Macaca fascicularis: one gene and its partners. The protein of the gene in region 1 purifies or fractionates together with the protein of each later gene. This does not show direct contact. Links are inferred from orthologs where the notes say so. Each region holds a gene or a part of one and is shown in the gene's direction. Other genes may lie near its edges.

Region 1 (4,822 bases):
ATTTTCTAAAATATCAGACACATTTATCATATCACATATCTGTTCAGAAATGTCTAGTGGCTTCACATAGCTTTGGGTTAAAATTCAAACTGCTTAGTAAAGCAATCAGCAGTTATTAAGCCCTACTAGGTTTTCTGTGCTTTTACTTAATTGTCTATCTTAGTCTTCATAACAGCTTTGTGAAGCAGGTCTTAGTAACATTAACAGATGTGGAGAAAATGAGACTTAGTGGAGTTTAATAACTTGCCCAATGTAATACAACTAGTTAAAGCTTAAATTTACGTCTAATTGATTCCAAAGTCTATCGTTCTGTACCATACAGTTTTGACCCTCTATATCTGACATCCATGGCCATAGGAAACTATTGCCTATGATTATTTACTTCTAGCTTTTCCTTTAGCTAGCCCATTTTCTAATAATCCTGCTTGCTTTGTAGGACTGAATTCACCTACTCTCTCTGCACCCATTATGGAGCTATATGTCTGCTCTTCTCTGGTGGTCCACAACCTGTCTGCTCTTGGAGCCCAAAAGAGAACTCTCATTAGCTGCCTGATCCTGAGTGAAACTAACTTTGGGCATTGTAATTTTAGTGATTTCTCTGTGAACCTTGGTTCTGTGTCTTGATATTAGGTCTCTTTATACACAAGAACCAGATGTTTGTTGTCTTCTGATGCCAAGGCTCCTGGCCAAGGTTTTATAGGAACATATTAAGTGAACTGAGTATAAGGCTGCTTTTGACAAGAAGGGCCTATCATCTCTAATTGTTGAGCATCAGCATATAAAGGGAGACTGAGCAAAAAGCTATATTACAAGTGGCAATTCCTTAGTTCAGAAGGGTATGTGAACTCAAGAGGAACTGTGTGTTTCTTTGTTTCCCTCTCCATTTTGTGCCTAGATACTCCACTATGAGCTACTGGCCATTCGTGATGCCTGCATCAAACTGGAAAAGGACTACCAGCCTGGGATCACTTATATTGTGGTGCAGAAACGCCATCACACCCGCCTTTTCTGTGCTGACAAGAACGAGCGAGTGAGTGAGGGACTGAGACCTCCCGTCCCCTCCTTCTGTCTCCCTTATCTTAATAGAGAAGAAGCCCTTCAGATAAAGGCTGGGGATTTAGTCCTTGTCCTGTTCATCCTCCCTGGCCCCTTCCCTCCTCTTAGCTCTTGTGGTCCTTCCTCTACCACTGCCTTCACTAGTGTCCACCTCCTCCCCTCTTTCCCTTATACTTCCTTTCCCTCCTCCTAGCTCCCTGGCCTAGACCCCATATATAGACCAGCTCCCAGAGAAGGGAAAGGGAACTACCATTTATTGAACTCCTCCTATGTGCCAGATACTGTACAAGGCGTCTTCCTCACAGCAACCCTGTGAGGTAGGTATTATTATTATCTCCAGTTTAATCTCAGAAAGGTTAAATGACTTGCTAAGATCATACAGCTAATAGGACTTGAACATAGGTCTGTGTGACTTTAGAAGCATATTATTTAAAGATTCAGTACCCTCTGGGAATAGCAACTTTGGCTTTGTTCTTGGGATTTTGGTGAAGTCAGAGTAGAATTGAGCCAGGGTCCTAGTTAGGGCCAGGCAGGTCTTGGGATCTTGGTTGTGTTTGTCTCTATACAGATTGGGAAGAGTGGTAACATCCCAGCTGGGACCACAGTGGACACCAACATCACCCACCCATTTGAGTTTGACTTCTATCTGTGCAGCCATGCAGGCATCCAGGTAGCTGGGCTATATCTTGGGGTTCCAATGGGTCAAAGATGAATTGTTTATTCACATTGCCTCTACAATATATCAGTCATCACTGAATGACATCCAAATTATGTTCATTTGTTTTGTTTTGTTTTGTTTTGTTTTATTTTGTTTTGAGGTGGAGTCTTGTTCTGTCCCCCAGGCTGGAGTACAGTGGCACACTCTCAGCTAACTGCAAACTCTGCCTCCTGGGTTTAAGCGGTCCTCCTGCCTTCCTGCCTCAGCCTCCCGAGTAACTGGGATTACAAGCATGCGCTACCATGCCCAGCTAATTTTTTTTTTTTTTTTTTGAGACAAGAGTCTCGCTCTGTCGCCCAGGCTGGAGTGCAGTGGCGCGATCTCGGCTCACTGCAAGCTCTGCCTCCCAGGTTCACGCCATTCTCCTGCCTCAGCCTCCTGAGTAGCTGGGACTACAGGCGCCCGCCACCACGCCCGGCTAATATTTTTTGTAGTTTTAGTAGAGATAGGGTTTCACCGTGTTAGCCAGGATGGTCTCGATCTCCTGATCTCGTGATCCGCCCGCCTCGGCCTCCCAAAGTGCTGGGATTACAGGCGTGAGCCACTGCGCCCGGCCTAATTTTTGTATTTTTAGTAGAGACAAGGTTTCACCATTTTGGCCCCGCTGGTCTTGAACTCCTGACCTCAAGTGATCCACCCACCTTGGCCTCCCAAAGTGCTGGGATTACAGGCATGAGCCATTGTTCCCGGCCAGGACTGCTCTCTTAATAAGCCCTGAGTACACTTGCAGGTTACCTTTAAGAAGAGTGCTTTATGACATTGGTAGTTTTGCATCCGCCTGTTCATGGGTGAATTATCTACCCAGCCGTATTCTTAATAGTGATCCTGTTCCCCTATTATCAGCCATCTCCTCTGCTCAGCCTGGGACCCTCATCTTCCTATCTTCCCAGGGCACCAGCCGACCATCCCATTACTATGTTCTTTGGGATGACAACCGTTTCACAGCGGATGAGCTCCAGATCCTGACATACCAGCTGTGCCACACTTACGTACGATGCACACGCTCTGTCTCTATCCCAGCACCTGCCTACTATGCCCGCCTGGTGGCTTTCCGGGCACGATACCACCTGGTGGACAAGGAGCATGACAGGTGAGACCTGGGATCAGGTTGGCCTCCTTTTTGCTTCAGCCTGTTGTGCCAGATCTTCTCAACTTTCCTTGGGTAGAAGGAAAGGAGTGCTGTCCAATTTGGTGTCATTGGGCTTCTCTGCCCAATCCTGGGTTGGGGTTTTCTCTTAAGTTGGTATGGGAATTGGCATCCCAGGGCTGGGTGAGGGAATTAGCAGCAGCTCAGTTCACCAGGAAGGACTTCTTTCATCTTTTCCTTTTCAGTGGAGAGGGGAGCCACATATCGGGGCAAAGCAATGGGCGGGACCCCCAGGCCCTGGCCAAAGCCGTGCAGGTTCATCAGGATACTCTGCGCACCATGTACTTCGCTTGAAGGCAGAACGCTGTTACCTCACTGGATAGAAGAAAGCTTTCCAAGCCCCAGGAGCTGTGCCACCCAAATCCAGAGGAAGCAAGGAGGAGGGAGGTGGGGTAGGGAGGAGTGTAGGACGCCTTGTTTCCTTCTGTAGAGGTGGTGTAAGAGTGGGGAACAGGGCCAGCAAGACAGACCACCAGCCAGAAATCTCTGATATCAACCTCATGTCCCCCACCCCTCACCCCATCTTGTCACATCTGGCCCTGACCCCAATGGACCAAAAGGGGCAGCACTGGTGCCCACCATACACACAGGTGTCTCATGTGACTCACAGTGCTAAAGACTCATGCTTGACAGCTTGGTAAGGTCAACTCTGTAGCCCTGCAGACAAAAGCTGGTTAGGTTTGGGTTTGATACTTTAGATGGGAAAGTGAGGGGCTTGAGAAAGTGGGTGGGAGGAGGGAAGGATTTTTTAGGAGCCTTAATCAGAAAAGGACTAGATTTGTTTAAGAAGAAAAATGAAACCAGACCCAGATCAATATTTTAGGATACTAGATGTTTTAATGGGTTCAGAATCCAGTTTGTAGGAAGATTTTTTAATGGTTTTGGTTGCTCCTCCCCCAGCTGCCACCCCCCCCTTCCCCTTATTCCTCTCTGTCCACATTTTCTGCCCCACCTTACTTCTCCTCCCTGACAGACATCCAGCCCCTAGTAATACTTAAGGCACTATGGCACTTAGCTTTGAAGTGACACGACCCTGTCTTCCTTCCGCCCGCTGGTGGGTAACCAGTGCCTTCCCTGTAACGGTAATGCTGCAGAACTGCAACCTTTTGTACCTTTCTTTGGGGAATGGGGTGGGGGTGGGAGAGGAGGTAGATGGGGAAGAAATACCCCAGACCCAACAAACCTCCAGCCAGAAAGCCAGCTATTTTGCATTTGAAGGAATTGACTTCCTCATTCATTGAGCTTTTTAAAAGATCACAACCTCAAGATGGTTAAAATCCATTGACATTTGCACTTTCAAACATGACAAGTCTCGGAGCTGCTGAGATGACTGGCCCCTGGCCTTTCCACTTATGCCTCCTTTTCTCCTTGTTCCTCCTACCTCCCACCCCACCCAGGTCTGGAGTTACTTTCATAGCATTTTTCACTCTTGGCTTCTTTTCTCCCTTGATGGTCAAGTCTCTTGTGTTTCAATATTTCTTAACTGGGGTGTCTTATAACAAAAAACTCTTAGGTCTAAAATGAGAAAAAAGAGAGAAAACAAAATGTTATTTTTATACCATAACTTGAGTGTATTGCCAAAATTTGGAAATCCTTCCCATGCCTGATGAGTTTGTATCCCGGAAACATTGAGCCATCAGAATGAACTGTGTACCTGATTTGTTCTCTGACCTGGCTAGGTAGGGAGGGGGTGGTTATCACCCCAAGATGGGGTCCGGGCTCCATCCTTCCTCTGTGCAGATAATACCTTTCTCTTGCTGTAGCCTCCCTCCTCTGCACTGTCCTGCACTCTTTCTTGCAAGTGCATCTTTTTCCTTCCTCTGGACTGTCCTCTGACCCTTTGGCTCATCCTAGATTCCAGTGTGTCCTGTGGACAGGCTGGGGAATTTTGCTGCTCCCTA
Region 2 (3,789 bases), on another chromosome or scaffold:
ACACTCTTCGTAGAGAGGAAAGGAGTGGTTTGGCCTTTGTTGGGGATTACTATTGAAGGGGGTAAAGTTGCAACTATTCCAAAAAGATTTGTCTTACTCTCTGGCCATCTTGAACTTGAAAGGGAAGTGACTATGTCCAGAAAAAGTGGGCTCATGTAACTAACTGTAGTTCTAAAGCCTCAAGATAAGGGGCAATCAGATTTGAGGCTGAGAGAGGTAAACCAAGATTTTCTTTGAAGACACGGGCTTTAAGAAAGCAAAAGTGACCGAGCGTGTTGACTCACACCTGTAACGCCAAGGCAGGAGGATCACTTGAGCCTAGGATTTCGAGGGCAACCTGGGCAACAGCCAGACCTTGTCTCTGCAAAAAATTAAATATTAGTTGAGCACAGTGGCATGTGCCTGTAGTCCCAGCTACTTGGGAGGCTGGGGTGGAGGATGGCTTGAACCAGGGAGGTCAAGGCTGCAGTGAGCTGTCATCCTTGCTACTACTGCACTGTAGCTTGGGCAACAGAGCAATTGCCTGTCTCGGAGAGAGCAAAAGTAAGTTGCTGTTTGTATTCGTTTCAGGCCTTGGACAAGATTCGCTATGAGAGCTTAACAGACCCTTCGAAGTTGGACAGTGGTAAAGAGCTGAAAATTGACATCATCCCCAACCCTCAGGAACGTACCCTGACTTTGGTAGACACAGGCATTGGGATGACCAAAGCTGATCTCATAAATAATTTGGGAACCATTGCCAAGTCTGGTACTAAAGCATTCATGGAGGCTCTTCAGGTACTGCAGTTCTGTAGGCATACACCATTCATATTCATCAGTGTTCTTTATTTTTTTTGCTGCTTTAAATTTTGTGTTTGACTTTACAAAAACTTGTTGGCAGGCTGGTGCAGACATCTCCATGATTGGACAGTTTGGTGTTGGCTTTTATTCTGCCTACCTGGTGGCAGAGAAAGTGGTTGTGATCACAAAGCACAACGATGATGAACAGTATGCTTGGGAGTCTTCTGCTGGAGGTTCCTTCACTGTGCGGGCTGACCATGGTAAGTTAGCTTTTCTGTTACAAGGTAGCTGGGTTAGAGTTTTGTGGGCTCACCAGTAGCAGAAATTTTGAGCATCCTGTCAAGCAGTTCTTCATAGCAGTTCCGCTAATACTTTATTAATTTGGTAAGTCTCAACTGCATATACTTTCGCCCTGTTACACGCTTATGATTGACTCTTCTAGGTGAGCCCATTGGCAGAGGTACCAAAGTGATCCTCCATCTTAAAGAAGATCAGACAGAGTACTTGGAAGAGAGGCGGGTCAAAGAAGTAGTGAAGAAGCACTCTCAGTTCATAGGCTATCCCATCACCCTTTATGTGAGTATGGACTTTTAAACCTTTTACACTTAGCGTGCAGGATGTTTCCTGTTCTGGAGAATCTCGTGGTCCCTGGCTTCTGCTTTTCCTGGTGTTTTGTACTCCAAGGCTAATTTCTGTTTTTCTTACTTAGTTGGAGAAGGAGCGAGAGAAGGAAATTAGTGATGATGAGGCAGAGGAAGAGAAAGGTGAGAAAGAAGAGGAAGATAAAGATGATGAAGAAAAGCCCAAGATCGAAGATGTGGGTTCAGATGAGGAGGATGACAGTGGTAAGGATAAGAAGAAGAAAACTAAGAAGATCAAAGAGAAATACATTGATCAGGAAGAGCTAAACAAGACCAAGCCTATTTGGACCAGAAACCCTGATGACATCACCCAAGAGGAGTATGGAGAATTCTATAAGAGCCTCACCAATGACTGGGAAGACCACTTGGCAGTCAAGGTGAGAAGCCTTTGCATGTTGGGTCAACATGCAAATATGGAGAGGAATAAGTGGAAGAGTGTTGGCAGGTAATAGACACATGGAACGTGTCCAGCTGATAACAGAAATGTGAGAGCTATGTATTTTCACTTACTGATTACCCGGTCATAGTGAAGTGCCATCCTTCCTAATGACCTCACTTTCTCTAAAGGAAATCTGGGTAATGTCTATTGGCAGCCTTACACATCCAGAGTTCTGATCAGAGCGGACTGTTTTCTATATACAGCTAGTATTCGTCTAGATCGTTGAGGGCATTAAGGCTCAGTTTTCTCGGGAACTGCCTGTGTGTGCGCTCTATCCGTTAGGCTTATGGGGAGGATCATTATTCCATTTTTAGGTAATTTGGTGTTGGGGCTAAAAGGCCCTCTTTTGAAATGTATCACTTGCTTATTTTTTGTTTTTTTTCAGCACTTTTCTGTAGAAGGTCAGTTGGAATTCAGGGCATTGCTATTCATTCCTCGTCGGGCTCCCTTTGACCTTTTTGAGAACAAGAAGAAAAAGAACAACATCAAACTCTATGTCCGTCGTGTGTTCATCATGGACAGCTGTGATGAGTTAATACCAGAGTATCTCAGTGAGTATCTCCTTGGCCTAATTTAGTTGGGTGAAGTCTTGGGAGGTTTTCGGCATTCTGCCAGAATATCCTAGGTTAAGGATTTTCTGCAATGCATAGTAAGTATAAGGGTTCAGGAGGCTATTAGAGCCTTCTGTTTGAATCTGGGTACCAGCTCTGGTCTAGCTATTTTTACTGAGCTTTCTTATCCTGGTTGATGGCAGATTTTATTCGTGGTGTGGTTGACTCTGAGGATCTGCCCCTGAACATCTCCCGAGAAATGCTCCAGCAGAGCAAAATCTTGAAAGTCATTCGTAAAAACATTGTTAAGAAGTGTCTTGAGCTCTTCTCTGAGCTGGCAGAAGACAAGGAGAATTACAAGAAATTCTATGAGGCATTCTCTAAAAATCTCAAGGTAAAGAAGCAAATGCTTATTCCCTTTACCACTTTCTTAGTAATTACTAACAAATTTTTCCATTCACATAGAAAGTGAATTGTAGTTAAGTTGGATTGTTTTTTCTCTTCCCACCCTTCAAGCTTGGAATCCACGAGGACTCCACTAACCGCCGCCGCCTGTCTGAGCTGCTGCGCTATCACACCTCCCAGTCTGGAGATGAGATGACATCTCTGTCAGAGTATGTTTCTCGCATGAAGGAGACACAGAAGTCCATCTATTACATCACTGGTGCGTTGGTTCTGATGGAAGCCTTTTTGGAGGAGTGGGGAGCACATTTCAGGGCTACCTAGGAACTGGCAGTATGAGGCATTTTAGTCACTGAGTCCATTTAATTACCCTACAGGTGAGAGCAAAGAGCAGGTGGCCAACTCAGCTTTTGTGGAGCGAGTGCGGAAACGGGGCTTCGAGGTGGTATATATGACCGAGCCCATTGACGAGTACTGTGTGCAGCAGCTCAAGGAGTTTGATGGGAAGAGCCTGGTCTCAGTTACCAAGGAGGGTCTGGAGCTGCCTGAGGATGAGGAGGAGAAGAAGAAGATGGAAGAGAGCAAGGCAAAGTTTGAGAACCTTTGCAAGCTCATGAAAGAAATCTTAGATAAGAAGGTTGAGAAGGTAAGCCATTCTGGAGCTAGGATATATTTTGTAACATACCTTTGAGGTGGGCTCCCTCACAATCATGTTTTTACACAATTAGTGGCTTGAGGCACCCTATTTACTGTTTGGAGCCTTCTTGCCTCTTGTTCTCTTCCCTAGCCAGGTTTAAGGCTATTTTAATAAAATTTGGCACAGATTAGGCATTGCTTCAGTTAACTTGTGAGAGTAGATAAAATATTATTTTCTTCTTTTTTTGACTGGATCTCAGCTCACTGCAAATTCAAGTCTCCTGAGTGGCTGGGATTACAGACATGTGCCACCACACCCGGTTAATTTTTTGTATATTTT
Region 3 (5,440 bases), on another chromosome or scaffold:
GTCTGTCCCCCAATCACCCTCCACCCCACCCCAATACGGTCCTTTCCAGCTCTGGAGGCCCTTCGTCTCCAAGCTGGGCCGCGGCATCTCTCCGCTCCATTCCCTTCCTTCCCAGCCCCACACGCGTCGGGTCCAGGTCCCCAGTTCCTCCATCCCCACAGCTTCAGCATCCCCACACCACCACCCGCACCAGGCCACATCTGCATCCCGACCCTCCCTCCACGCCCGGATCCCAGGACCCGGACCCATCCCTGCCCCCCACCCCCCCACAACTCGGCCAGGCTCTCACCTCGGGGGCTCCGCGGCCGCAGCACAAAAGGCGGCGCTGCTGCAGCTCCGCTCCGGATGCTGCTCCCGCCTCCTCCTCCTTCTCCTCCTCCTTCCCTCCTCCCCCCGCTGCCCTCCACCGGACCCGGGGCGCTGTCACAGGCGATGCTCGTGCGGTGTCCGGATGCACGGGTGTCAGCTTCAGCTTGCTGCCCCCACCCCCCGACCCCTAGCCCCGTCCCTGCTCGGCTTGAACTCCCGCTCCTTCCAGGGCCCCCGCCCCTGGCCCCCCGGGACGGACACGCCCTGAGCGGGGGATGCTGCGATGGAGCCGCCGGCCTCTTAAAGGAGCCCGCTGCTGCCATCCGGCGCGCTCCACTCTCGTCCCTGGCCCGCCTGGGCCCCGCGCTTCCCTGCTGGCGGTGTCCTATGGAGGTCCCACCTCAGGCCTTAGGCTGATTCCACAGGAACCCCCTATGACTCGTCTTATAGACTCCTTTCTACATCGGAGAGAGCAGCCCCTCAGTTGGGATCCCTAGCGCTCTGGCATTGCTCCCCCTATCATACTGATCTTGCCAGCTCTCCTTCCCTTGATTGTCACCGCTCACTCTAATTTCACCCACTTGGAATTCACTCGACTCTAGGCCCCATCCTCCTCCAGTGTTCCTGGATGACCCCTCATTATCATTTAAAGATTCCTCTGGACCTCCAGCCCCGCCTCAGAGTAAGACATCTCTTTCTTGACCCCTTCTCAGAACACTCATTAGAACCTTTATTTATTTATTTATTTTTTAAAAATGTGATATCTCCCTTTCTCCAAGGTCACAAGATTTCCCTTAGCCCAGTGGTTGTGCGACTTTGGGGGAGGAGGCAATGGGGCTCTAGGACTAAAAAATTTGCGTCTGCTCAACACCCAGATCAGTTGATTAGTCTTAGGCGGCCAAAATTCACTCTTGCTTTCTTCAGCTGAGAGACCCAAGACTCATGGCAGAGGGAACGAGACCACCAGGTGCCTAGTCCTTCTAATCCTGTCGCCCCACACCACAGCCTGATTATCAGGCCCCAGAGATTTCCTTGCCAGTTAGAGAGGTTCACTAGAGCCGTTCTAAAAAGGTTTTACAAAAGAAGCAAAACCTGAAGGAGGTGAAGGACAACCTAGGAAGAGGAAGCAAGTTCTGTGTCACGGAGGCCCAAGGGCCAGGGGCTTAGGCTGTGGGTTGAGGGGACTGTCTGAGACTGACTTGGATCTGCACCAGCTCCAGAGCCCTGCGTAGACAGACATCGGTCCCCTCCGGCGTCTAGGTAAAGCCCACCCTCTCAGACCTCAAAGAGCCCGGATCCGACAGCAACCTCTCCGGACCAATCACAACCTTCCTTCACCAAGGAGGCGGGGTCAGGGGGCTGATTTTTCCTTGTCCCCGCCCCTTTGGTCGAAGTAACCAATTCCAATGTGCCTAGAGGAAGTAAACGCAATGGGAGTAACCAATGACAACATGAAGCTTCTCGTGCGTGCTTGACCCTGCCCCTCCAGCTGCGGCAAAGATGGCGCGCGGGCTCCTGGGTTCTGTAGTTTTCTCGGGATCCAAAAGGCTCCGTGCCCAAGTGAGTCCTTACCGCCCCGCTACCCAGCGGCTTCCCCTCCGCTAGTACGCATGTCCACAGCCTCACGGCCCGGGAGAGAGGGGGCGCGGAAGGAAGGAGGCGGGACGGTATTACAAACAAAAAAATACAGCCTTCTCGAGAAGCGACTGCGGAGAGCCCGCTCCTCCCAGAAGGCGGTGCAGCCGGCCCGGGCGAGCCACGCGGAGGGTTGTGGGGCGGATAGCTCCCCTCCAGATGGAGGCTCATGAAGTAGGGTGGGCGGGGGACTCCATATCCCAGCGTGCCCCTCGGCGGGCCCTACCGGCCGCGACTCCGGGCTTGGCCCCGGCCCTAGCTCGTCGGCGGTGTATTGGGGCGCGTGGAGGCTGCACTCACGGTGGCGCCCGCGGGGACGGAGGAGGGAATGAGTGAAGAGGAGCAAGGCTCCGGCATTACCACGGGCTGCGGGCTGCCTAGGTGAGCCGCCTCGTACCGATTCCTTCTGGGCAAAAAGCGTGGGGCCGTGCGGAGGGAGTAGCGGCGCGGCCCCAGCATGCACCTGGCCTGAGGGTTGTTCCCGGCAAGCACTGGGGCAGTGGGCAGTGGTTCCCGGCGTGCACCGGGGCAGTGGCTGCTGCCTTCAGCTCTAAATAGTTTGGGGTTGGCCCGGTTCCCAGACTGCACTGGAACACTGGGCTTTATGCCCCCACATTCAGTGCATTTGGTGGGTACTGGGTTCCTGGCTTGCACTGTGTCAGGGGGTATGCACTTTCAACCTGCATGGGGCACAGGATCGTGCCCACCTTAACTGAGGCAGGAGCAGTGCATTCTTCCCCCCTTGCTTTGAGGTAGTGGGCCCTACTCTTCCAGCCTGCACCTACACTTGGAACCCAGCCAATGGATGCTAGACTGCCTGGGGTTCCTTGGACCCTATGTCCCCCATAATGTGCCTAGGTCTGGTATGGAAGTGCTTGGCCAGGTGGGTGCAGAGAGGGGAGGTGTGATATGGGTCTGTGCCCCTTCCCCCAGTATAGAGCAAATGCTGGCCGCCAACCCAGGCAAGACCCCGATCAGCCTTCTGCAGGAGTATGGGACCAGAATAGGGAAGACGCCTGTGTACGACCTTCTCAAAGCCGAGGGCCAAGCCCACCAGCCTAATTTCACCTTCCGGGTCACCGTTGGCGACACCAGCTGCACTGGTGAGGAAGGCTTGGGCAGCCTGGCTGGGGTGTGCATTTGCAGGTCCCCATGACTTTGTTTCTTGGAGTCTCTTTCTTCACAGTCCTTTTCTTCAAGGCCAGTGAGGGAAGGAGAGATTTCAGGGGAAAAGCTACTGACTGGATTGGGAGAACAGGGCTGTGAGAAGGTGGGTAGGACGTGGGAGAGTTAGAGGATCGATCAGGACTGCCACATCACCCTAGAGGAAAAGGAAGAGAAGATAACTGAAATCCCAGTGGAGTATTTGGGGGAGTGAGTGCCTGGCATGCTGGGCTCTGTTCCCGGTGCTTAACCAAATTCCCATTTAATTTTAAACCTCAGTCTAACCAGTGATGTAGGTGGCAGTATCCCCCCCCCACTCCTCCCCCCGCCCGCCCATGTTGAATATGAGGAAACTGAGTATTTGAGATAGTAAATGGCTGGTGCATGGTCACATGCCTAGTGTGTGGCGGAGTGGGGCTTTTACTCCAGAGCCTACCCTCTCTTATTCCAGCTCTCTGTTTTTATTGAGGGAAAAGAAAGTGCTTTGCAAAGGAAATTAAAGCATTTGAGTTCAGAAGTCCACCCAAGGCGTTTGAGCTCAGAAGTCCTGCTTGGCATGGCTTAATTCTGGTCTGGAAGCTAATGGAAAGATAAGGGCTCTTCCTTCTAGCAATTAGTGAAACACTTCCAGTCTTCAGCAGGGGGTGGTTGGTCAGAAGGGGCTTGATGGATTCCCACTGGCTCTGAGGAGAGAGGCTGTGGGATGCTGGTTTCTCTCCCATCCTTCCAGTGACCTCCAGTATTGCCCATGCCCCCTCTCTCAGGTCAGGGCCCCAGCAAGAAGGCAGCCAAGCACAAGGCAGCTGAGGTGGCCCTCAAACACCTCAAAGGGGGGAGCATGCTGGAGCCGGCCTTGGAGGACAGCAGGTGAGGGAGGAACCGAGGCATCCCAGAAGCCCTTCAAGGAACCCAGGCCCTGCACCACCCCCTCTGCCACCAGGCCTGGCCAGGTGACACTTAGCCACCCTGACCTGGCCTCTTCCTGAGAGTCCCTCTGGACCTGAACAGGGTCTTCCAGGGCGTTTGCTGCTATGAAGAATTCTTGGGGTGGAGGGGTTGGTTAGCCCCATAGAGGGGTTGTGGCAGTAGATTGGGACCTGGGTTAGGGAGGGAGAGGGGTGGAGGCTGAGGCTAAAGGGAGTTGCTCCCCAACATACCTCCTTGTTCTAGCAAGATGTCCTTCCTTCACGCGCAGGTTGGAGTTTGTTGCTCCTCTGGTTCTTTGGTACAAAGAGACCCTCTTTTCTGTCTTTTTGCCGGTGTTTGGCGGCAAAGGATCCCAGGAGGAAGCTGTTGGTTGAGCCTCCCTGATTCTTTGGCTCAATTTGGAAGTTCTCTTAGGGGATCGGGAGGTCAGGAGGACGTGGGTCCCCCACCCCTCTCTTCCCCCTATACATGGGTGTGAATCAAAGGCCCCCTTCCCCTCGGGAAGTTCTTTTTCTCCCCTAGACTCTTCACTGCCTGAGGACATTCCGATTTTTACTGCTGCAGCAGCTGCTACCCCAGTTCCATCTGTTGTCCTAACCAGGTATCTGTGTTCCCTGACTGCCTGAGGTGGGTGGAGGAAGGGGTTCTGGTTTTTGGCTCCTCAGTCTTTGGACCCAGGCTGGTCAGGCATGAGGAAGTCTGAGAATAAACAGAATGGAATAGTTGGGAACCAGAACTTGAAGAAATCACAGCAGCTGGGGTAAGCTCTTGGGACAGAAGGTCATTTGTGATTTTCAGATAGCCTTATGGATGATGTTCGACCATATTTAAGGGTCTCGCAGGCCCCATTTTCTTCTGGGTTGACCACATGTCAGTTCTGTGTTTGAGGCCCATCAGGCACTTCTGGGACTGGAAATACAGCTCTTCTCCCACTGTCCTGGCTTGGATGATACACAAGTGTTCCAGATTGGAAATGGGCTGGGGCCTGGAGAAGGCCTCCCTTGAGTGGGAGGGGGAAGGAAGCCGGCTAGAGCAGGAGGGAGCAGGCTCGATGTGTGAACAGACAGCTGCCTGCCCGGTGGGAATCAGGAGATGGTAGTCAGGAATCTAAAGTAGTGGTTAGGCTTGGAGCTCATGGGCAGGCTCAGATGGAACCCTTCACCTCAACTTTGGCCCTGTGCCCTTTTTCCTTCAGGAGCCCCCCCATGGAACTGCAGCCCCCTGTCTCCCCTCAGCAGTCTGAGTGCAATCCTGTTGGTGCTCTGCAGGTGTGCTCCATCCTCATTTCGCATGCATGCCTGTCTTCCTTTGAGTCAGGGGCCATGAGGGAAGGTTATGTGTGTTTGGGGGTGGGGGCGGTTCCCTGTACTGAGGCCCTTTCCACCCCCCTCTCTCCTTCCTCTCA
Region 4 (5,606 bases), on another chromosome or scaffold:
ATGGTGTTGAAGAACAGAACTTACTCCCCTCTGTGCTTACAGTATCTGATATTGTGATATTTCCTCGAGAAGAAATGTGTGGTACATCTTTTAAGTACTAAGGGGGATATTTTTGGCCAGGAAAACACTTGCTAGTAACCTCATCAGAAAGTCTTGAAAATGAAGTTTGAGAAAGGACAAAATACTCCGGATAGAGACCAATAGATGGAGTAAAATTATAGTGACAAAAAAGATCAGAAAAGGACATGTCTGTAATTCACAGCAGAACATGAAGAACAAATGCTGCAGATGCTAGATGTTTCTTTTTTTTTTTTTTTTTTGAGACGGAGTCTAGCTCTGTTGCCCAGGCTGGAGTGCAGTGGCCGGATCTCAGCTCACTGCAAGCCCCGCCTCCCAGGTTCACGCCATTCTCCTGCCTCAGCCTCCCGAGTAGCTGGGAGTACAGGCGCCCGCCACCTCGCCCGGCTAATTTTTTTTTGTATTTTAGTAGAGACGGGGTTTCACCGTGTTAGCCAGGATGGTCTCGATCTCCTGAACTCGTGATCCGCCCGTCTCGGCCTCCCAAAGTGCTGGGATTACAGGCTTGAGCCACCGCACCCGGCGATGCTAGATGTTTCTGAATAAGTACCCAAGTACCTGTGATATTTTGACACAAGTAGGGTAAAGACAACCTTTTGGGTGCCACTGAGGACTGGTGAGTTGGGTTCATGACTAGGCAATTGAGTGCTTACTAGATAAGCTTTGTGCTAAGTAAGCAGTCCTAATTCTTATAAAAATACTAAGACATTGACATGTATGGTCATTTGTCCCCAGTTTTTTCATGAAGAAACAAGAGACTGAAGAAGATTAAGTATTTTGAGCTAGTAATCAGCTTTTAATCTTGACTTCTGCGTGTCTCGGGGTAGGTAACATGACAGTGGTGTAATCTAGTTGCCGTTGTTTACTGATTTTACTCTGCTGCTCTCATATGCTGTGACTGTCTTGCTCCTTGCCTTCCCTGGGTTTGTAATGTGACTGAGCTTGTTCAGTCTTACTACCTCCTGCACACGGAATTCAAAAGAGAGTGAGTCACGGCCACAGTTGGCAGGAATCTGTTATGTTACTCCATTAGCCACATGACAGTCTGCTTGTAACAAAATGACAGCGAAATATAGCAACAGTTATCATACTCTTCTTCCAGTTATCCTTTTAGCTGATTTTAGTAGTCCTGTACTTTACTAAGTTTTTATCAATTGTGCATAATGTCATTCATTTCATTTTTCAGTGTCTGCATCTCTTTTCAGTCCGTTCCATCAGCAAAGCCAACTTAAATTTTGTTTAATCTCATTGCAGTGCACCCGTAGCAACCCCTTCCAGTTTCTTAGACACTTGCCTATCTTTCTCCTTTTATCTTCTTTGACATCCCTACTGCCATATGCATTCCAGCCTGGATAAATAATGTGCAGCTTCCCAAATGTCTAGTTCATATCTCCAAACCTCTCCTTGTCTGCCTGATATTCTTAGTGTCCTCTCTGGAAAACTTCCTCAGGGCAGAGTTAGGTATTTTCATTTTGTGTGATGCTTTTCTTTGGGTGACTGGTGATTTTGGTTGTTGATATTATGAGTGAAGGTTTAGGGTCTAGACTTTAGGGTGATGACTATAGGTAGCTGGAGTGAATTTCTTCCACCTTTGCAAAGGTTTCTTTGCCCAGTCGACTCCTTCCGTGAATGGGAAGGCTGATCTGTGTGAAGGGTGTTGATTGGCAGGCTTTACTTTACTCTGTGATGGAGGGAGTGGCAGCAGCCTCCAATAAGATGGGCTTTATTCTGGGGCAACCAAACCCATCCAAGCACCTAACAGACTCCTGTGGAAGGTTTTGTTTCTTTAGAGAGTATTTATTTGGCTTTAGGCTGCATTTAGAAGCAGCTACTACCTGTTGGCCGTGTAGGCATCTGAATGGAAAGTGGGTGGGAGGGGTTGAGTAGCTATGGCTTTTCTATTCCTTAGACAGTCTTTTTGCCTCATGCTTGCTTGCTCTGATCTTCTGGAACCTCTCTAGAGCTCCACCAGAAAGGATGGTACCTAAAACATCCATTTCAGACTGCTCTTGTGTTTATTCTTGGGTGGGGTGGCTTTTGCTTTTGCTTATCAGCTTTGAATAGAATAAAAAAGTAATAACCTTTTCCCCTGAAAGGTAATAACCTGTCTCCTGAAACACATTTGCCCAGTCTGTCACTTTGAAATCCTGAACCAGAAGTTCTGTTGACAACTTTAACTGTTTGAGATTTTAAAAATTTAAACAAACTAATATGAAGAATACATTAATAGGTCAGGCGCGGTGGCTCACACTTGTAATCCCAACACTTTGGGAGGCCGAGGTGGGCGAATCACTTGAGGTCAGGAGTTTGAGACCAGCCTGGCCAACTTGATGAAACCCTGTCTGTACTAAAAATACAAAAATTAGCCAGGCATGGTGGCAGGCGCCTGTAAAGTCCCAGCTACTTGGGAGGCTGAGGCAGGAGAATCGCTTGAACTCGGGAGACGGAGGCTGCAGTGAACAGAGATCACGCCACTGCATTACAGCCTGGGTGACAGAGCAAGACTCCGTCTCAAAACAAACAAGAGTACATTATTGTTTCCTAAGAATTGATAGAATACTTTGTAATGTTTGTGGAATATGAAATTGTTGTAATGCTGAAATACAAGTCACCTATTTATTATTAAGATTATTAAGTTATGTTCTAAAAATATTTACAAAGCTATTTAGGGCAAGGAAAACTAAAGGTAGCTTCCAGAAACCTAGGTGAGAGGGGATTGTGAGGAGGTCTCAGGCGTTGCCATTAGCTACTAATTGATACTTGGGGCCAGTAGCAAGGTAACTCCAGCTTAAATGAAGTTTACATTCTAGGATTGGAGGAAATTGCTTGTTTCCCAATGTAAAATTTGCTAATTTTAGGTTGTCTTCCTTGATATGATATTGAGATAAAAGTTGTACTACTTGTGGCTTATTAAAGTGAATTGTACCATATAGTGGCTATATAGTTAGGGTTAGGTTGCAAGTTGTGTTTTCAGTGAATGATAAAATAATAATTTGCCATGTCTTCTAATAAGAGTGAAAAAGTGAAAATGAACCTGTATGCAACATTATTTTTATCTCTCAATACATTTTGGGAAAGTTAATTGCAACTGTGTGGTTCAGGGATTTAGTGCAAGAAGAAGAACAGTTGATGGAAGAAAAGAAAAAGAAAAAAGACGACAAGAAAAAGAAGGAAGCTGCTCAAAAGAAGGTAGTATGTGTATAAACTATTTATATTAAGCAGTTTAAACATAGAATTAAAAAGAAAATTACTCTTACAGATTTTTAAGGCATTTATTTGATTTAATGTTTTAGTTTTAATGGAGATTCATTTTAATATTTAATGTCTTTGAATATGCATACAAAGTAACTTGCTGAGTTTGTACAATTTAATGCATAGTTATTAATCTTGCCAATAGTTTTTCAAAGGTAAGTACGTAAGTACGTTTTATAGATCTTTATCTTTCAAATAGCTATTCCTAGGTGTTTCATAATAATATCATTTTATAAGTGGGAAGAGCATGGAATTTGTAGCCAAGTTGAGAGGATTTGAAATCTCACTCTCCCACATAGCACATAGAATGGTGTGACCTTAAATTTTATTTAGCCTCTCTGGGCCTTAGTTTCCTTGTGTTTTGTTAAATGAGGGTTGAATTAAGTGTTATTATATGTAATATAGAAATAGAGTATTAAAGGAAAACATAATAGACATAATAGGAAGTAAAGTGTCAGTTTCTTTTTCCCCCTTTATTTAGTACCTGGGCTGATTTTTAAAGTTTGCAGTGTACATTAACCTTAAAATAAACCTAGGACATTGTTTACTGCAAGGGCATTATTGTTTACTAGCTAATGTAGTATAGGAAACTATAACTAAATGCAAAGTAAGTTAAAAAATTTTTTTTAATCTGTAATTATTAAAAATTTTCCAAATTGTTAATACTAAAAGCTGATAATAGTTAACTAAATGGACACTCATCTCCTACTATGTCAAGGTTTCAAGACATTAAAATGTTCTAAAAGACCTAGTGAAATTACTGTTTCAATTCTCTATTCTAATGAAAAATTATTTTGATTTCTTATATATGCCTCTTTTGAGCCAGGCATTGTGCTAGGAATTGAATGTAGACTCTAGCAAGATACTTATGTCCACATTATTTAATAGGGGAAAACACAGGCTATAAAAGTGGCAGGTGAGGCATTTATGGGGAACTGTTGCAGTACAGAGAGAGAGGTGCATAACTCAGGCTGAGATGGGGCAGAGGAACAGAGAAGTTTCCTTAGAGTTGAAATTAGGTGAATAAGGAGCAGAATAGAAAAGGATTCCAAACAGTGAAAACTCAGAAATACATGGTAGCCTGTATGTGTTAAAGGATGGGTTTTGCTTGGGGGAAAGGGAGGGAACTGAGGGTAGAACTCTGAAGAGTTGAGCTAGGAAAGGCTAGGAGGTTTTCTCAGGGCTTCGGGGAAAATGCTGAAAATGTTTTAGTAGAGTGACATAAAAATTTGTATTTTAGTATGTTTACCTTGGAAAATTGTGGAATTGGATTAGAAGGGGTAGATACCAGAGTGTGAAATACTGGTGAAGGGACTATTAAAGTAACCCCCAGACTTTGTTTAAAGGATATAGAGGGAGAGTCAACTTACATTGATTCGCAGGTTCCAGATGAGTGACTACATTTGAGAGGAGTTAATCAGGCTGGGGGATACAAGGAAAGGGGAAATGATAAATAATTCATTTCTACATGTCCTGAGCCTAGGGGTGTCATCAGCAAGTATTAGGAAGGAGAATTAAGTATGAGATGAGAGGAGATGATGTGGCCCTAGACACCTGCCTTTTGGTTGCTCTTAGGGGTGCCTGGGAAGGGATGCATAGGTATATGAAATGGTTAGGGTTTTGGTAGGCTTCTCATGGTTTGGCATTGACCGATGCCTTGGGCGTCTGTCAGAGGCTGTTTATGTAGGACAGTCTTTGCAGTCTGGTTGGTCATTGCTCGGGATTTCTTATGAGAAAGTTGTGTCCTCTGTAAGTCTGAGTAAAGGTAAAGGGGTAAAGGCTTATCAGACTCTTGTTCCATGGTGTGAAAGGCCATTTGCCCAATGAAAAGAGCTTCTAAGAAACTTAAGAGGTTTATTGAAAAGGATGCTTGGGTATACTTTATGTAGATTCAGTAGTTTGGCAAGCATCTGAGTGTTGAATTAGGCTCTGTTGGTCCCTGTGTCTAAGGAGTTCAAGAATTAGCTGATAAGTCAGAATGTATGTGAAATGGCTAGAGAAGAGGCCTAAGACAATATATAAGTGTATTTGTTTGGAATTTATTCTATTTACTGAGAAATTTTAAGAAAGGGGTCACTTGAATGATATCTTTAAATATTGTGTTTTTGTGAATATAATTTTAAAGTGTAACATATACAGCAATGGCTCTACTTGTTACAAGTACATCTTTACATTCTTGTATAAATTAAATCTCTAAATCACCAAGTCAGTATAGGTGGTCACTTATGTGTAGGCAGCTTATAAATAAGCCTCTAACACATGAATGGTGATTATTG
Region 5 (5,566 bases), on another chromosome or scaffold:
GACTTGTCAGGACCCCCACACCTGCTGAACAGACCATGAGGGCCCTCCCCACCACTAGGGCCTGGACTTCCCTCCTTGTGCACGTCTGCACCTGAGGTCAGGTGTGGGAGGTGTTTCCGGGCCATGGGTGCTGTGTCTATGGGAGTTGGAGGCACCCAGGAGGGCTGGGGGCCGGGTGTGCGGTCAGACTGGGTGTGTAATCACGCATGAGTCTGGGAAGTGTTTATTGAGCTCCCATAGTGGCTGACCTACTCTTCAGCCTCCCTGCCATCCAGTGAGACCCGGAGGCCTAAGGTTGTGTAGCAGGTGAGCAGGCCTGGACTATAGCCAAGTTCACTCGGCCTGGGTCCCATGCTTCTTGGCTGGCCTAGTGTCCACGTGGGTGGCCAGGCTGGGGCCAAGGTTGGGCAGCAGGTCTGGGCACAGCCTTTGCCCCACGGCCCAGGTCCACAGTGCTGTCTCCACTAGGTGGGGAGCACACAGACTCAGGCCCAGGGGCACGGGCCACCCCAGCCTGCCCACACACAGTTCGTTCACCTTGGCTCAGAGCTGTGGCCCACTCTTGAACCTGGCCCAGGTACAGCAGGTAGTACCTGAGGGTGTACTGTGGGGCCGGCAGGCCGGGCACTGTGACCACTGCCTCATCTGACATGAAGGCCTCCATCTCGAGCTCCAGGCACCAGGACTGCTGTGAGCAGCGAGGAGAAGCAGCCAGACACCCCATCAGGACAAGCTCTGGCTCCGACTCCTGGTCCTAGAGACACACAAGGGCCCAGACTGTCTGCTTCACAGACAAGGACGCTTATGTACCCAAGTCGTGCCCACCCAACTCACCTGAGGCTGTGACTGTGGTGGGTCCACACCGCAGAGGGCAGACAGCTGGGTGACCGCGGCCCCCACATCTGGCAGGAGGCAGAAGGTGGTGGTCGAACAGTGCACAGCCAGCTCAGGGGGATTGGTGGTCACCAGATGCTGTGAGAAGCCAGGTCAGGGTGCCCGGCGTGGTGGACCCACAGGGAGGCCCCGCCCCCACGAAGACCCGCTCTGGAGGCCCCGCCCCGCCGATGCCACGCCCCGATGAAGACCCGCCCTACGGAGGCCCCGCCCTCGAGGCGGGCCGCACCTCGCCGCCAGCTTCCAGGCCAGCAGCCGCTCCAGCTCCCTGTCACATGCTCTCCGCTCTGCCCCTGATGGCCGCTGGCAACTCCTCCCGATACCTGGGGAAGGGCGGTGAGGGGAGGTCCGGCCACAGGGTACGCTCGCCCACCGATCCCTTTATCCCCTTCCACTCTACCAACGGCCCAGGGCTTCCAGCCGCACTCGGGGGTCCGCGCGCACCCGTAGGACCTCTCGATGGCGCTCCGGAATGGCGGCCCAGCGACTGCGGTCCTTACACCCAACAGCGCGGGAAGCCACTATGTTCACGCGGAGGGGCGGGGCCGGCTGCCGGGGGCGGGGCCGGCTGCTGGGGGCGGGGCTTCTGCGTAGGGGCTGGCTGCTGGGGGCGGGGCCTCTGGGTGGGGCGGCCTGTTGGGGGCGGGGCGTCTGCCGATGGGGCGGGCTGCTGGGGGCGGGGCTGGCTGCCGGGGGAAGGGCCTCTGGATGGGGCCCGCTGCTTGGGGAGGGGTCTCTGCGCGTTGCGGCGGGGGCGGAACGCCAGGTGGTCGGGACAGGCTGTTGGGGGAGTGCGCCCTCAGCGAACCAAGGCATCTCACTGGGAAAGTCGAATGTGTGTGGCGGTCGCCGCCGAGGCCGGTTCCGAAGAGGCCTCAGCAGGGCGGGCCAGGGCCTCCGCGAACGCCGACCCTTAAGAGCGCCGAGCGAGGGAACCGGAGTGTTCCTCCCAGCCCCCGACGCCGCGGGCCTAGCGTCCCCGTCCAGGCTGATTGGGCGCACGCGCGGCCCCACTCGCCCCCACCCGTGCGTCCCCGCTGGTCCCGCCCCCGGCCGGAAGTTCCGGCGGTGGAGCTGGGCCGGGCCCGAGAGGATCGCGGGTTCGGGCTGCGGGGCTCGGGCTGCAGGCGCTGGGCCGCCAGGCGCGGAGCTTGGGAGCGCAGCCCAGGCCGTGCCGCGCGGCGCCATGAAGGGCAAGGAGGAGAAGGAGGGCGGCGCGCGGCTGGGCGCTGGCGGCGGAAGCCCCGAGAAGAGCCCGAGTGCGCAGGAGCTCAAGGAGCAGGGCAACCGTCTGTTCGTGGGCCGAAAGTACCCGGAGGCGGCGGCCTGCTACGGCCGCGCGATCGTGAGTGCGCTCGCGCGGGAAGGGCGGCGGCGGCGGCGGCGGCGGCGGCGGCGGCGCCGGGGAGGGCCGGGCCCGTGCCCGGCTGGCCCCACCGAGGGTCTGGTTCCTCTGCGGGGCATGTCCTGGGCTCCTAAAGCCCAGCCGTGGTTCCCGAGCCCAGCGCCGGGTGTCGGAGAACGAGGGTGGGATGCTGGATGGAGGCCGGCCGGGTCGGGGGGAGGGCAGGGGCCCTCGCCCCTTGAGGCTCCCAGGTCCAAAGCCTGGACTCTCCAAAGATTTGGAAAACTTTACAAAACCAAGTGGAGTCAAGCGGATAGGCTCAGCCAGTACTCCACTGTCTGCAGATCCTTGGATCCAGGGGCTTTGACGACTGAGAAGCCTAGTTTCTTGATTCTAGCCAGAGCGCAGAAGCTGGGACGGGCCGTGGGACAGAGGGGGCGCGCTGAGCCTACACCCTCATGCGGCTGGCCCGGCCTTGGTCCCTAGACCCGGAACCCGCTGGTGGCCGTATATTACACCAACCGTGCCCTGTGCTACCTGAAGATGCAGCAGCACGAGCAGGCCCTGGCCGACTGCCGGCGCGCCCTGGAACTGGACGGGCAGTCTGTGAAGGCGCACTTCTTCCTGGGGCAGTGCCAGCTGGAGATGGAGAGCTATGATGAGGCCATCGCCAATCTGCAGCGAGGTTGGCTGACAAGCTGCCCGGTTGTGGGGCCCCTGGGGCCAGGCGGGTGGACTGGCCAGAGAGTGACCTGAAGCCCCCGTTCCCCAGCTTACAGCCTGGCCAAGGAGCAGCGGCTGAACTTCGGGGACGACATCCCCAGCGCTCTTCGAATCGCGAAGAAGAAGCGCTGGAATAGCATCGAGGAGCGGCGCATCCACCAGGAGAGCGAGCTGCACTCCTACCTCTCCAGGCTCATTGCCGCGGAGCGTGAGAGGTGGGACCCTCACCCCAGGTCGCCCTGTCTTGGGGTAATTCTGAATCACCAACTACCAACATGAGCGTTTATTGAAGGTTTTACTGGCGAGCAGAAAACGTGGGGAAGAAGCATGAATGTTAGCCCTGAGGTTGGGGTGTGGTCAGACATCTGGCCAGGTCCATCTCTTACTGGCTCCTGGTCAACCCCCAGGGAGCTGGAAGAGTGCCAGCGGAACCACGAGGGTGATGAGGACGACAGCCACGTCCGGGCCCAGCAGGCCTGCATTGAGGCTAAGCATGTGAGGGTGCCCCCCTCCCACATGTGGGTCTGTGTGTGTGCACCTGGCGTGGGAGCATCCCCGCCTTGTGTTGGGTCTGTGCCCCATGGAGGAGGGAGGTGGGGTGTCCCGCACAAGTGCAGTGCTCAACTCTTCACAGGACAAGTACATGGCAGACATGGACGAGCTCTTCTCTCAGGTGGACGAGAAGAGGAAGGTGAGTGTCTGTCACTTGCTGCGGTGGGTGGCAGGTGCTGGAGCAGTGCCCCTTCCCAGCCTCTGATCGTGTGCCCCTGTGCCACAGAAGCGTGACATCCCCGACTACCTGTGTGGTAAGATCAGCTTTGAGCTGATGCGGGAGCCGTGCATCACGCCCAGTGGCATCACCTACGACCGCAAGGACATCGAGGAGCACCTGCAGGTGAGGCTGCGGCTGGGGGAGCAGGGCCAGCAGCATGGTCCTGGGCCCACTGACTGCCCTCTGCCCTTCTTGTCACTGCAGCGCGTGGGTCATTTTGACCCCGTGACCCGGAGCCCCCTGACCCAGGAACAGCTCATCCCCAACCTGGCCATGAAGGAAGTCATTGACGCATTCATCTCTGAGAATGGCTGGGTGGAGGACTACTGAGATGCCTTGCCCTGCCCAGCATCCTGGTCCAGGAGAGCCCTGGGCGGAAGCCCTCCACCCCTGTACATAGTTTGTGTTGCTGGCCACCCTGGCCCCTTCCAAGTTCAAGTTCTGCTGTTGGGCTCTGGACTATTCCCCCTCTCAGCATAGCTCTTGCTGGGCCATGATTGTCCCCCTTTGTGGGCTGGAAAAGCAGGTGAGGGTGGGCTGGGCTGAAGCCACTGCCGACACTGTCTGTGTAATAAAATCCATGAGCACGAGATGGGACGTGCTGGTGTGTGGCAGGCATGCCTGCCAGCTGCTTTGGCTAGCCGAGGAAGGTGGAGATGAAGACGCTGGTGTCAAGGTTGAGTGTGGCATGCCACCAGCGGTCAGGGAAGTACAGCACCTGGTGGAGAAAAGGGGTGCAGCACAGATTAGCTGGGGGCCTCTGGCCTGGCCTGGCCCTCTCCTGCCAGCCACTGACCTCACCAGCCCGGATGGTACACTCCAGGGGCCGTGCAGACGGTGGCAGGGCTGGATATGTGTCCCGGAGCCAGGCCAGCGTGGTCTTGTTGGGGTGGAACTCTGGTGTCTTCTCAGGTGGGTAGAGGAACCAGCGCTGGGGGCAGGAGCAGCAGCGTCACCCTTGCCTGTTTTGGTCACCGAGCCCCAAGGCTCAACCCCAACCCTGTGCTGACCTTACGGCCGTAGATCACCTCCGAGTACCCGGGCCCATGCCAGTGGAAGGGCACCCCCGAGCCAGCTCCTGTGGGGTTATGAGCACCTGGTGACCAAGCCATTTTGTACCCACCCTCAGAAGCCTCACTCCTCCCCAGTCCTGAGCAGCGTTCACCTGCGATTCCAAAGCTGTAAGCTGGAGCGGTTCCCAGCAGGCCAAATGGGGGTGGGGAGTAGTGCCGAAAGAGAGAGGCCCACTCGGTGAAGTTGTTGTCCCCGAAGAAGTACAGGGTGTCTGCCAGTAGAGACGGTGGGGGCAGGGATCCTGGCACCTGGAAACTCCAGGCGTCCCCACCCCCTACCGCCACCTAGGGCTGACTCACCATTGCCCAGGGAGGTGGGGTCCTGGGGGTGCAGCAGCTGCTCCACATACTCCTGGAACGGCAAGTCCACTGCAGGAGAGAGCCGGGTCAGGACCGGCTGGTCCAGCCGTCCCGGTGCTGGCACACGGGCGGGCGCAGGGGCGGAGCCGCTCACCTTTCTGGTAGGAGTAGGTGTTGGCGGTGCTCAAGCGGACCACTCTGTCCCCAAACGAGGCCAGCAGCCTTTCGCGGGAGCACAGGGCCCGGAACCTCTGTGGGGGCGGGGAGGGGGCTTAGTGGCCGGACCCAGCAGGGGCAAGAGTGGCCGGGGACGGGCGCGCGCTCACCGAGTTGTCCGTGAGTCCCTGCAGGATAACGGGCCTGACGAAGGCGTACCTGGAAAGAAATGCAGAGTCGCGGCCAGGTCCGACAGTCACCCTCGCCGCCCCCGCCCCACACGCGCGCGCGAGATCAGGGAAG
Region 6 (4,822 bases), on another chromosome or scaffold:
CTCTAGATGCTTTTTTGGTCTTTCCCAAATTTTGATCTTATTAAGAGCTATTAATAGTTTCCACAAATCCTTATGTTTAGCTCCTACAACGGGCCATATCATTTGAGGTTGAGGTGCCACTATACCGCCATGGTTCCAGATAATGGGAACTTTTGCCATACTTCTTATTTCTACCCTCTGACCATTTTGTTCAGATCAGCTGAACATAGTGTGGCCAAGGCACACAGACTGAGAGGTGCAGTTCAAGCTAAACATCCCCTTGGGGGACCAGTGAATAATGATTCCATAGGAATTGATGTGCAGCACCTCTGCCTGTTCTGCATATCCCTGTCAGCTTTTTTGTCAAAGCCATTTCACAAGTCTCTAGGAAGTTCCAAACTGTCCCACATTTTCCCATCTTTTTCTGAGCCTTGAGTTCCAACCTCTGCCTGTTACCCAGTTCCAAAGTTGCTTCCACATTTTCAGGTATCTTTTCAGCAGCACCCCACTCTACTGGTACCAGTTTACTTTATTAGTCCATTTTCATGCTGCTGGTAAAGACATACCCAAGATGAGGCAATTTACAAAAGAAAGAGGTTTATTGGACTTACAACTCCACGTGGCTGGGGAGGCCTCATAGTCATGGCAGAAGGTGAAAGGCACATCTCACATGGTGGCAGACAAGAGAGCTTGTACAGAGAAACTCCAGTTGTTTAAACCGTCAGATCTTGTGAGACTATCACGAGAACAGCACAGGAAAGACGTGCCCCCATGATTCAATTACCTCCTACCACGTTCCTCCCACAAAACATGGGAATCATGGGAGTTACGATTCAAGATGAGATTTGAATGGGGACACAGCCAGACCATATCAGATAGTTTGAAAGTAATAGTTTCTGCCTTTTAGCAGCAGTCTTTAGGGATTTGCTCTGTTGTATTAACCAGAAGAACCTGGGAGCACTGATTCCACACCAGGTCTGGGGGCAGGCAGAGGTGGAGACCAGAGCTTTCCTGGAGATTGTCAGGCCTCTCACCCCCGTCTCTCCTGGCACAGATGGGAAAACACGGGTCTCCGGGGCTGGCGGGAAGATCCAAGAAGTCAGAGTCACCACGGGGAAGTGGGAAGGGGGTCTGCAGGAACTGTGAGGTTTTGGTTTACGAAAGAAAGTATGGACCTCCCAGGCTGAGAAAGGCTGTCCTAGATCATGTGGTGATGGTCCGTGATGGCCCGTGCTGTCCCACACTTCAGCACGGTAAGAGGTGGGGAGGCCGCACTATCCACTGGCACCGGGGCCTTGTCAACCGGGTTCTCCCCTCTTGTTGCAGGTTCTGCCTGGAGCACCGACGCCTCAGGAAGAACCAGCAGCTGGCTCGTTCTTCGAAACCTCACTCCCCAGGTGCAGTACGGTGCCCCTGTGTCGCTGAGCATGATCCAAGGAGGGTTCCCTCTTGGCCCCCGATGCAGATGAGGCTGTCTGGTGGGGCGGGATAGTCGGGGGTTCTTGGTCAGGGTCCAGAGGTGATGCTGCACGGGAGGAGATGAGCAAGTGCCAGGCTTGGCTCCAGCAGCAGCAGCAGATGGGGTCCAGGGGTCTCTTTTAACCATGTTCTTGGTGAATTGTTTGTTTACCCACTAGAGGCTGGAAAAGTGTGCTCTGTAAATAGAATTGTTTATCTTACAACTACCCATTCAAGAGTGGTTGGGCCTGGCCGGTTGCAGTAGCTCACGCCTGTAATCCCAGCACTTTGGGAGGTCGAGGCCAGGGATCACCTGAGCCCAAGATTTGGAGACCAGGCTGGGCAACATAGCAAGACCCCATGTGTGTATTTTTATAACATTTTTTAAAAGAGTGGTTTGGCCACGTCAGACTGTGGGGCTAGCCAGTCCCTTCTTGGGACCCAGGCCACACCCACCTACACATCTCCCAAGTCTGTTGTCAGCAGCTAGACCCAGGTGCCTTTTGCAAACCAGGGGCTCTGTGTGATGTGCTCTGGTGAAAGGAGAGCTGAACTCAAAGTGGGGTTTTTCTCCTTCCTCTGATTAGCCTAACTCATAAAATATAACTGAAACATCCAAGATTTTAGTTACACGTTTGGCCACAGAGATACAGAATGTGAACATTGTAAAATCACATATTATTAAAGCCTTTTAAAGAAAAACATTTTCCTAGTGTTTAGTGTATCCAGTTTCATGTTTTTTCTTTGGAAGGCTGTAGTGAAAGAAATCAGAAGAAAGCTCATTCATGCCCCTGTGCTTCCTCTGTCAGATTGATGGTTCTACACTGCGGACATTGTGTTTGCAACATGGGCCTCTCATCACATTCCACCTGAATCTGACTCAAGGCAATGCCGTGGTCCGGTATAGCTCCAAGGAGGAGGCTGCCAAGGCCCAGAAGTCTCTGCACATGTATGTTTCCTCACAGCCACCTCAGCGCTCCAAGTAGCTCCACATCCCCCAGAGCATTAGGTTAGGGGTGTTGCAGGGGGGTCCTGAGCCGCCATAGCAGCATCCCACAGGCTGGCCACCCTCCCGCTTCTGGAGGCCGGAGGTCTTGACACCCAAGATGAAGGTGTGGGCAGGGCTGGTTTCTCCTGAGGCCTCTCTCCTTGGCTATAGACAGCTGCCCTCTCCCTCTGTTCTTACATGGTCGTCTCTTTGTGCATGTTGGTGCCCTGATATAAGGACACCAGTCATGTTGGACTAGGGCCCACCCATGTGACCTCATCTAACTAACTTAATTACCTCTTTAAAGACTCCATCTCCAAACACAGTTACATGGGGAGGTACTGGGGGTTAGGACTTCAGCAAAAGAATTGGGGGAAGGCGACACAGGTCAGTTCTTCACAGGTATCTTGAGACTTATTGTTTTTTTCTGCTGCTGAGTTGCTGTGTCTACTCCCCTCTGCCTGTGACACATTCCTACACAGGGCCCAGCAGCGGTCCTCACAGCCAACCCTTCACCCTGACGAAAGGTTGCTTTTGATAGAAGTATAAGTAGACCTGATCAGTAACATCACTTGAGACATGGAACCTAGAAATTAGTCATTCCTGTTTTTAGCCCAGGATGCAAATGACAGTGACCCTAAATGAGCCCACATTTAATGGTGTGTTCATGCACTTGAAGATGTACTCTCTGTACCAGTACGGTGTTGCTGCTAGAAGTCTGAACTGAGCAAAACCTTCACAGTCTGGGTTTGGAAATAGCAGTGGCAAAACAGAAGCCACACGATGGCTTCCAGGTAGCCTTTCCCAATACGAAGACAGAAAGCCGGTGCCACGAACTTAGCAGGACTTGGGGTGGCCCTGCTCACGTGCCCCATCTTGCTGTTGCAGGTGCGTCCTGGGAAACACTACCATCCTGGCTGAGTTCGCTGGCGAAGAAGAAGTGAATCGCTTCTTAGCCCAAGGCCAGGCGCTGCCACCCACCTCCAGCTGGCAGTCCAGTAGCGCGTCCAGCCAGCCGCGGCTCAGCGCAGCGGGCAGCTCCCATGGCCTGGTGCGCAGCGACGCTGGCCACTGGAATGCCCCATGCCTGGGTGGCAAGGGGAGCAGTGAGCTGCTGTGGGGCGGGGTGCCCCAGTACTCCAGCAGCCTGTGGGGCCCGCCCAGCGCTGACGATAGCAGGGTGATCGGCAGCCCCACCCCTCTGACCACCCTGCTGCCTGGGGACCTGCTCAGCGGGGAGTCCCTGTAGGAGCTGCCATCATCAGCACCAGGAGAGCCGACCCCTCCCGGGACCCCTCCCAGATGGGCGGCCCCACAGACCCGCTGGAACCCAGCAGCGGCCACCCTTTTGAGTACCTCTGTCCAGGACTGAAGACGAACCTTGGCCACAGTCCTTGCGAACTGTTCGCAAAACAGTGCGGGCTGCGGTGGGTCAGCGTCACATGCTAATGACAGGATGTTCCTCGTAGCTTTTTATTTTGTGTGTCTTATGTTTGTATAGTGTGTTGTCATTTTGATTTTTTTTTTTTAAAGTATAAAAGCTGCTTAGAATAGTTCTATCATGAAGGGCACTTTTCAGATTGTGGGCTGGAAAGGGTTATTTTATCTGTGGGGGAGGGAGGGAGACGTGAAGCCTATTTAAAATGAGCCTGTGACGATTATGCACATTACCAGAGGCGGCCGGTAATCAGGGCAGAGTCTGGTGTGGACCGCCGGGCGCAGAGCGGCTCCACGGTAGGAGCTGAGCGGAAGGCGTGGGCTGCGATCTGCTCTCTGTTCCCCTGGATCCGCCTATGCACATTACCCTTGTTTCATTACTTTTTCATGTCATTTTTTTATCCCAAAAAATATTTTTTAAAAGTTAAAAAAAGACATATCAAACATGCAAATACTTGAATCCAGCAGGCCAATAGTGAAATGTGAACACTTTCTAACTCTACACTTCCAGGCTGACATCAGTACACAGAAACAGGCTCTAGGGAAAATTTCTAAGTTCATAGCCTCCATGTGTGTGAGTGTGTGCGTGTTGAAACAGAAGTGTGTGTGTGTGCGTGTGTGGCGCGTGCTCCTGCACAGCGTGCATTTTCTGTGTTTGTGTGTTTGAAAGCGTGTGAGGATTTAACTGTGGGTTTTCCCTTGTATTCAGTATATGCTTTTTTTTTTGGCGCATTGGTCAAACGTTTGTTATTATTAGCTTCTAACTTTGCACTGAGTGTCCTCGCCCTTCCTTTAGCTAATCCTATACATTACAGAGAATTCCTAGGACAGGGCTGGCGACAATTCATGTGTAAATGTTTACTCAAGGACTCTGTGACTGCGTTTAAAAAGTACAGTGTATATCTCTGGAGAAATAATATGTATACCTACCTTTAGCAGCTTTTTATTGTGGACTAATGC

What was found.
Region 2: the proteins of protein argonaute-1 (region 1) and HSP90AB1 purify together in Homo sapiens (co-immunoprecipitation; 4 studies listed by BioGRID and IntAct, with this or other methods). This does not show direct contact. The link is inferred for Macaca fascicularis from reciprocal best matches to the Homo sapiens genes AGO1 and HSP90AB1.
Region 3: the proteins of protein argonaute-1 (region 1) and TARBP2 purify together in Homo sapiens (co-immunoprecipitation; 4 studies listed by BioGRID and IntAct, with this or other methods). This does not show direct contact. The link is inferred for Macaca fascicularis from reciprocal best matches to the Homo sapiens genes AGO1 and TARBP2.
Region 4: the proteins of protein argonaute-1 (region 1) and TNRC6A purify together in Homo sapiens (affinity purification with mass spectrometry; 10 studies listed by BioGRID and IntAct, with this or other methods). This does not show direct contact. The link is inferred for Macaca fascicularis from reciprocal best matches to the Homo sapiens genes AGO1 and TNRC6A.
Region 5: the proteins of protein argonaute-1 (region 1) and STUB1 purify together in Homo sapiens (affinity purification with mass spectrometry; 3 studies listed by BioGRID and IntAct, with this or other methods). This does not show direct contact. The link is inferred for Macaca fascicularis from reciprocal best matches to the Homo sapiens genes AGO1 and STUB1.
Region 6: the proteins of protein argonaute-1 (region 1) and TNRC6C purify together in Homo sapiens (affinity purification with mass spectrometry; 5 studies listed by BioGRID and IntAct, with this or other methods). This does not show direct contact. The link is inferred for Macaca fascicularis from reciprocal best matches to the Homo sapiens genes AGO1 and TNRC6C.

What each region holds. Positions count from the first base shown.
Region 1 is NC_088375.1:199,021,106-199,025,927, reverse strand, and holds part of protein argonaute-1, read left to right. Parts: intron 1-895; coding exon 896-1,030; intron 1,031-1,624; coding exon 1,625-1,726; intron 1,727-2,664; coding exon 2,665-2,864; intron 2,865-3,106; coding exon 3,107-3,215; 3' UTR 3,216-4,822.
Region 2 is NC_088378.1:127,266,344-127,270,132, reverse strand, and holds part of HSP90AB1 (heat shock protein HSP 90-beta), read left to right. Parts: intron 1-570; coding exon 571-777; intron 778-880; coding exon 881-1,040; intron 1,041-1,222; coding exon 1,223-1,356; intron 1,357-1,489; coding exon 1,490-1,798; intron 1,799-2,245; coding exon 2,246-2,411; intron 2,412-2,614; coding exon 2,615-2,805; intron 2,806-2,927; coding exon 2,928-3,075; intron 3,076-3,190; coding exon 3,191-3,459; intron 3,460-3,789. UniProt on the Homo sapiens protein: Molecular chaperone that promotes the maturation, structural maintenance and proper regulation of specific target proteins involved for instance in cell cycle control and signal transduction. Undergoes a functional cycle linked to its ATPase activity.
Region 3 is NC_088385.1:60,310,715-60,316,154, forward strand, and holds the start of TARBP2 (RISC-loading complex subunit TARBP2), read left to right. Parts: upstream 1-2,037; 5' UTR 2,038-2,272; coding exon 2,273-2,325; intron 2,326-2,449; exon of another isoform or gene 2,450-2,572; intron 2,573-2,877; coding exon 2,878-3,047; intron 3,048-3,872; coding exon 3,873-3,975; exon of another isoform or gene 3,976-4,058; intron 4,059-4,540; coding exon 4,541-4,636; intron 4,637-5,230; coding exon 5,231-5,303; intron 5,304-5,440. UniProt on the Homo sapiens protein: Required for formation of the RNA induced silencing complex (RISC). Component of the RISC loading complex (RLC), also known as the micro-RNA (miRNA) loading complex (miRLC), which is composed of DICER1, AGO2 and TARBP2.
Region 4 is NC_088394.1:23,827,289-23,832,894, forward strand, and holds the start of TNRC6A (trinucleotide repeat-containing gene 6A protein), read left to right. Parts: upstream 1-1,956; 5' UTR 1,957-3,116; coding exon 3,117-3,267; intron 3,268-5,606.
Region 5 is NC_088394.1:1,433,791-1,439,356, forward strand, and holds STUB1 (E3 ubiquitin-protein ligase CHIP), read left to right. Parts: upstream 1-1,958; 5' UTR 1,959-2,080; coding exon 2,081-2,239; intron 2,240-2,583; exon of another isoform or gene 2,584-2,725; coding exon 2,726-2,924; intron 2,925-3,011; coding exon 3,012-3,177; intron 3,178-3,230; exon of another isoform or gene 3,231-3,369; coding exon 3,370-3,457; exon of another isoform or gene 3,458-3,596; coding exon 3,597-3,653; exon of another isoform or gene 3,654-3,740; coding exon 3,741-4,064; 3' UTR 4,065-4,324; downstream 4,325-5,566. UniProt on the Homo sapiens protein: E3 ubiquitin-protein ligase which targets misfolded chaperone substrates towards proteasomal degradation.
Region 6 is NC_088390.1:84,529,021-84,533,842, forward strand, and holds part of TNRC6C (trinucleotide repeat-containing gene 6C protein), read left to right. Parts: intron 1-1,305; coding exon 1,306-1,376; intron 1,377-2,246; coding exon 2,247-2,386; intron 2,387-3,313; coding exon 3,314-3,674; 3' UTR 3,675-4,822. UniProt on the Homo sapiens protein: Plays a role in RNA-mediated gene silencing by micro-RNAs (miRNAs). Required for miRNA-dependent translational repression of complementary mRNAs by argonaute family proteins.